Linked DNA regions of Drosophila melanogaster. The protein of the gene in region 2 interacts with the protein of the main gene of each other region in a pairwise test. Each region holds a gene or a part of one and is shown on either strand. Other genes may lie near its edges.

Region 1 (3,756 bases), on a different chromosome or scaffold from region 2:
TAATAATTTTTAAAGGGGCCTCGAGGAGGGGCCAAATCCAAACGAAAATTGCTCTCAACCCAAAAGCAGATTGCACAGTGAACAAAAAATCAGGTCTTTGTCAAATATATTATAGAATATTATTCTAAATAAGTAGTATTTCACTTACAAAAACATATTATATTGCCTTCTGTTTACTGCATTCACTAAGGATATTCATAAACTTTATATATGAGTATATTTAAAATAAAGATCGTTTTTTAAGAGGTATCTAGGGGATTGTTAGTGATCTATGTATTTCACTTGCATATTTATTAGAACCACTTTATTTTTCTGCACTTGACATTTCAACATAAAATCGCTGAATTCCGTCGGAACGAATTAGAGATTTTCCAGGTAAAATAAAGCGATTTAAGGCCAAGTGCAACTGGCCAACCCAACCCAGTAAGCAACTCGGCCACTTCGGCGACCATTATCCATTATCCATTATCCATTATCCATTATCCATTCCCCCCGGGTAGAACCCGCAGTTTCGGATAGGTCAAGTATATGCGGCACTTTATGGGCTTTACGAGTGTAAAAAAAAAGCAAAAAAGCAAAAGATTGAGAAGAGAAAAGAGCTCAAAGACAGATACTTGCTTATTTCTAGAGGCTGACCAGAGCATCTTTTTCATCTTTTTTTTTCATATATATATATATATATATGTATATATATCTACTTTTTTCACCAGTTTCGTATATATTTTCGCTGTAGTTTTTGTTTTTTGCCTGTGGGGCCAACAGGTTCGCTGGCAGTTGGGAAAAAGTCAAACGGCTCAATAATCGAAGACGACGGCTCAGAGTTTTTGAGTCCGCGACTCCGAACTTCAGCTCTTTGAGTCCAGATAAATGAGGACAACAACAACAGCGACAACTTTAAAGAGGTTGTGCGTGTGCCTGTGTGTGTGTGAGCCAGCTGGGATAGGCACACTGTGCGAAAAGAGCATGTACTACTTTGTTCTAATCAAGCTAGGCAGGTCGAATTCAAATTGATTTTAGCACGTTTTCAATTTCAAATGCCACATAATAAATATATTATTATGTTTAAATCTTACAATTTTCAACATATTCTATTATTTTCTGTGTACTCCATTCGAATTAAAAAAATCAGCGAAACCAAAATAAACGAAAAATCAGACAGCAACAAGAAAAAAAAAATACGAAAATATTTTAAGCCCAACGAAAGAATAACAAATGAATGGAAATATTTGCTCACCTCTTCCTTTGGTTTTTAGTGCCTTGTAATCGCTGTTGTTGACTCTTCAAATGTGTGTGTTTTTATATTTTGTAAATTTTCTTGGTTTTTTTTTTTTTTTTGATATTTGTTTATTGCTTGCCCGCTTGATGTGGCTGCATTATATTTCAGCTGTTGCCGCTGAAAGCCAACGGAAAGCAGGCAAGTTTTCAAATTTGCACAATGAAATTGATTTTACAACGCGTAAAATTCCACAAATTATGCACGAAATGCGTTTTGAATTGCACTCAGCCACCACACTCGAAAAAAAGGCTGCCATTCACCGCTCGCCGCGAAGCGTAGCCCAAACCCCCCCAAAAAAAAAAAAGAAAAACTAAAAAAAAAAAACCGTTGCACGCCTGCGCTTTTCAAAAATCTTCCCAGTTCGCTTCGAAACTTTCATCCGCAACGTTGGCCCTCCGTCGACGACTTTCGCGTTCCAGCGCTCAAAGCAAACTGAGCTGCAGAGCGTCGGAATTGGAAGCAGCGAACGGCGACTGCGACGCGACTGCGGCGCGCCGGCGATCAGAGATGAGAGCTTAGCTTTTTTCAAAAGCTTATAAAAAAAAGAGTCATCTTCGAAATGACATTCTCATTCGATTGCAAACGTTTATGTGTACGAATTACTTGAAAATTGAAGAATATAACTTGTACTTTAGAGATTCATGCAGTTATTTAACTTGTTGGCTAAGGATTCAATCACTTTCATAAGCATATTTTCCAAAAGATCAATGTATTGTGTACTAAATGTAGTAGCTGTTTCTCATACTCTTTACTTTTTATAACTTATAATTATACTAATTATGCTTCTATTGGTGTTATGACGTACAGTCAGCACTGATTGCTTGCGAATCGGATTGGCAATCATTGTCGCCGTTCTTTCCGGTTTGCTGGCGTTGCCACAGCGCTGCAATTAAGCGGCTAATTCTGATTTTGGATACCGATTCGGATCCAGACTTGGGATTCAAACATATGTATAAACATATATGTTCGCGGCAACCGCATTAGTCCAAGTCGCAGTCGCCGCCTAGGTTAATTTCCCTCAATTTTGTGGCTTTTCGCATATAGGTTCATTGCTTACATTCATAGATACACAGCGAGAAAATTGTATTACTTACAGATAATTCTTTAAAATATTTAATAGTATTTGATATTTAATAGTATAGTATTTAAAATTTAATAGTATTTAATATTTGGTTAGTTTCTTCACTGGAATATATTTGAACCTTAAGATTTCTCAGGAGGAAGGATTTTTATACCAAGGATTTTTTAATTTCCTCTGTGTAAAACACACTTGGCTACCTGTTGCACACACACACACACACACAAATTCTAGTAATGGCCGTCCGCAAATTGACCCATAAAATTGTAACGTTGCTTGAGCCAAGATAGTTTAGCTGTCCATATATCACTGCAGATACACGACACTGGCCTACAAAAGAACACTTTGATAATTCCCCCCGATGTGCAGTGTTGAGATGGTAACGTTTTGTGCTTAGCCGACTAAGATGATCTTCTTAATATAGAAAAACTAAACTTCAAATCTACCACTTCTCACTGGCCTGTTAACCAGTGCTATTTGGTTGAGAAGTCTGGAACTCAGTGAATCGGCAGTTGTATCCGCGAACGCATAAATAACCATCCGTGGCTATATGTTCGCTGTTGTCCAGTGGTACACCTTCATCGTGTCGATCGAGGTGGCGATCAGATTCTTCGATTTGCATGCCAAACAGCCGGGAACATCGCTAGCTTACTACGAGTATATGCATCCGAGGCATGCGATTCGATTTGATATCCGATCGCCGGCGGCGATGGCCACAAGGTTATCCCCTCCCACGGATCATGGACATCATTAGCTCATTCGTCACGATCGCAATGGGTCCTAGAACCAACGATGGAGTACTCGTAAGTGAGAATCCATGGGTCATTTGGAGAATTGCCCAGATCCAGCAATCGCAACAATAATCATTCAATCCACAATGAGCCCATGAAAAGTTTGGCATTTTCATACAGGTTCTTCTCTTTGGGAAATTGCTTGTTGTATAAATCAGCTCTTTAGGAAACTCTTTTGAATTTGTGATTATATAACTGTGTAATTTTTATTTGGAAAATACCTTGTTATATCCATACAACAAAAATATTAGACAAATCATAATGGATAAAACTTTTGATAGCCGTTTTAAACAAAATTATGCATTGGAAATATTTTATTTTGTTTGATCCTTTAATCACTTTAGGTTCACCTTGATTTCGAAGGTCTTGTAGGTGTATTCCTGGATGACTTTCAGATTCTTAATAATGAACTCCTTGATGGCCTGCACGTAATCGGCGGCGGCCAGGATGAGCTTCTTAAAGGCATCGATCACCTTGCCCTCGCCCTCCAGACGACCCTTGAACTTCTCCTCCGACACCTGGGCAATGAATCCCCGCAGTCCCAGTGCATTGGCCTGGACCAGTGCAAACAGCTCGAAAGCATCCTTGGGCACCCTGCCACGCACCTCAAA
Region 2 (3,756 bases):
CGAGCTACACATACACACTCTGTCTTTCAGATGCTTTCTAGCCTCCACTCGGCAGCCTGTCTTGTGCCATTCATTCATTCATTCACTCATACAGTGAGTCTCTTTTTCACCGACTCACGGCGCAAAAGTCACCCAAGTGGTAATTAAAATTATAGCAACAATGCGACGTCTTCTTGGCCAAGAAGATGATGAAGAGGATGAAAAAGCCGCTGGCTGACACAGAAAGCGAAGCCGAAACGCTGTCGTTTGCTAGTGTTTGTACAGGCACACACGCTAACAAGTTGCGGCTGCTTACATATTTGCTAGGAAAAGGACACACAAGACATACACAGCCCAGCTTTGACTTCTTGAAATATTTATGAGTGCCCGCCAACTCGACCCAAAGACGCTGGTGACAAGCCAAGAAGAGCCCGAAACAAAAAACCAGTGAAGTGATTGTCACAAACCCGGAAAATACTATATGCACTAAGTCACCAGTCTGCAGAGTTTGGCGCTTTAAGTGTTGCAAAAATTATTTTTCACTTTTAGACTTTTTGTTTATTGATATTAAACTGCAATATATGCGTTCATCACACTTCAATTTTAAATGTATTTTTCAAAATTAAAGTAATAAGAGAATGCACATATAATGTTCTATATTTTCAATTGGCAATAAAGGGGATATATTTTGTTGTTTCAATTTTGCACTCAACAAAAAAATAACCCCAAGGGTTATCCTTCTTATGGGGCAAAAATAATAGATGCCTATCTATCTATATAATTTTTATCAAATGGCAAGATTTCTACGTACTTAAGCCTATTACTTTTGTAAAACAAGATTAAATTGTTTAAGAAAGTAGTTCTAAAATGTGAATTCTTGTATATTTCTAGACAGTGAAACTGGAAGCTAACTAAGCAACATAAAATAATTAGACAACAACATCGTTCCATTATTTTCGGCCATAGGGCATTTCCTTTTGCCAGCATCTACATTTTACAAATATGTCGCATGAAAACCCAAGGGGTTAAGCTCCGCATTTCGAGGTGAAAATTTACATGGGCCTCGAGATGATCGTTTAGCACATCATTAAAAATGTGTTGCTGTGCAGAAAGTTTCGAGTGCTCAGCACTCTGGGGTGGCAACCGCTCTCGAGTGGCAGAAATAAATAATTAAAATATACAAAAATGCCGACCAGAAGAGCACACAATTCCCGCCAAGGACGAAGGTTAATGCGTGGATTCGTGGCGGTGATGTGGGTTGAAATCTGGCATCAGTTTCACTGGCCTGCTGACAGGGCAACTTCACCTACCTTCAATTATTTACGGTGTGCGGTGTTCCGTCCACCTGCTTAATGCATTTGCAGCCTCTCGGAATTTTCCCAGCTGTGGAAGCAGCAAGTCCCAGGATTAATTAGTACTGAGTCCCAGGACTTTCAGCGAATCAAAGATTCTGCGGCGTGGGTATAATGTAATTAACGTGTGTTTTCCTTGGCTTCTACGCAGTTGAAGCTGCAAAAATGGTTGCAAGTGTTTTCTTTGCATAAACTTACACACACAAAACACGTCCTTCGATTTTGGTTCACTGGTTACGCGCTAACATTCACAATTTTCAGATGCACGATTGTTTTTTATGCAAGTAAACGACAAACAGTATGTTTTACTTTTTAAATAATTTGTTGCAGCGGAAAATGGAAACGTTTTTCTCTGTGGCCAAAGAAAATTTGTTCCGCTTTTTTGCGTCGCAGTTTCGCTTAATTAACAAAGTCGACGACTGAACGAAATGTCCTTTTTATACACACTTGTTCGCTTTTACCTTGCTCAAGTAAAAGCTTTCGGCTCTCTCCCGCTCTCTTTTGCCAGCTTTCTCTCTCTCAACGCGCTTTGCTCTCACTTTTTTGAATACCCTGTATGCAGTGAGGGGTATGATGAAGTACTTTTCAGCTAATTTTTAATGAAATGGTTTTTTGGAGAGTTTTGTTTTCTCAGTAATGACCATACGTTCCTATAAATATATATACTTTAGATAATACATTGTATTTTTCTGTGTTTTAATACAGAATTATACAATGAAACAAGCCACTGATTGTTGCAACCCCATTTTTTATAACTAATTAGTTATTCATTTATTATGTATTAAATTATTTCAAAATTAAATGTTAGCATCTTTGTAAGTTTAATGGTATTTTGAATATTGTAAACCTTTCATATAAAAGCTCTGCTCTTACAAAGCTCTTTCTCTCTCGCTCTCTCTGTAACTCTATCGCTGTGTTACAGCAGAGAAACAAAACAAACAACAGAGCGGAGCGGATACGGAAATGGTGCAGGCCAAAGACTGATGGCCGACTGATTGTGGCCATGTTGTCTGCCCTCCGTCTCTGTGTGTGTGTGTTTTTGTGAAGGTATAGATTTATCAGTGTTAGTGTGGGTGTTCATGCAACGCGAGTGGCAAGCCAGCTGGGAAAAATACTATGCAGAGCGTACGCAACGGGAGCGCAGCGAGAGATTTTTGCGGCCCATTGAGTGTGAATTAAGAGATGCCGGCTTAGTGCGAATCCTTGCTTATACATTTATGGTATTCTTTTTTGTTCCTCAGCTACACTGCATATATGGATCCATGTATGCCCTCGAGTGGCGGATGCTGGAGGCAGCCCGACGAGGATGGATGCTGGGTACTGAGTACTCCTATGAGGTTTCCGCATTTCGCTTTTCAGCATTTTTGTGGCATGCTTTTGGGGGAGGAACAAAATTAAATCTCCCTGGTATTGGTGCAGTAAATATCATTTTTAATCTGAATATTAAATATTGTGATGTGTAATGCAAAGAATGCCATTTTGAACTCTTGAAAAAATGTGCTTGTGCTGTCCTTCAACTACGGTCCTTGCACATTTGCAACAATCAAAAAGGTCAAGGGATGATTGGTGCAATAATTTTTGTTTAAGCAGTGCTCCAAAAACTTCCATTACAATTTCCGACTGTCATAAGCTGAATTAATGCTATTCCTAATTTTTTTTGCAGCTAGCATTAATCCCTAAGCGGCCATTAGATTGTCAGCAGAAAAAAGATCTACAAGCATTTGTGTTATTTAACTCGTTCCACTTTTCCATTTCGCTTTTCTATTTGGGCGAAAGCGCGAAAAACTCATTCCAGTCAGCATAAATGAAAGCTTGCGTTTGTTTCCGAAAAAAGGGAAATTTACGTTGGCAGTTGCAATCCCGTTTTGCGTGTTGCAAGGGATTCCGCACGATTTCCTGTTCGCCACGGACACTTTGCCTCCCACAAGTCCTGCCACACCAAACATCACGTCCTTCGCACGTGCAAATGAAAATAGGTTTGACTTTGCTTATATATAAAAAAATTTATTGCGTTTAACTTTGCGGGTTGAGGAGTCGAGAATGAACGAGTTTTTCATGCTTAGCGGCATGCCAAAGGTGGGTATCTTAGCGCTAAATGGGGTGGGTATTCCTAGAGTTGAATGAATCGCGTTGATATGTCAGCTGCTTGGTTTGTTGGTATCGACTTAGGATCTATACTTAAAGGCTAGCGATATGTTGATTTGGTTGCTTGCAATCGTTTCACAAATGTACAATTAGTCGCTGAAACCGAAGACTACAGAGATAATACAAGTAATCCGAAGTGATCTTGAGACCTCTGATGTTCTAACTGTCCAATTTCCGTTTCAAAAACTTCAAAGGCCCAAGGCACTCTTTCGAATATCTTAAACATATAATTAGAATACCGATAACTAGTTCATACTCATTTTATCCTTTCATTTAGTAT

The links. Proteins that work in one complex are often made in the same cells at the same time.
Region 1: the proteins of CG14853 (region 2) and CG15365 interact in a two-hybrid assay, tested with the Drosophila melanogaster proteins (one large-scale study listed by BioGRID).

The regions. Positions count from the first base shown.
Region 1 is NC_004354.4:9,066,274-9,070,029, forward strand, and holds the start of CG15365 (uncharacterized protein), read right to left. Parts: upstream 1,711-3,756; 5' UTR 1,235-1,710; intron 1-1,234. Other genes in the region: CG10970 (uncharacterized protein), read right to left, coding at 3,481-3,756.
Region 2 is NT_033777.3:14,607,641-14,611,396, reverse strand, and holds the start of CG14853 (uncharacterized protein), read right to left. Parts: upstream 1,756-3,756; 5' UTR 1,290-1,755; intron 1-1,289.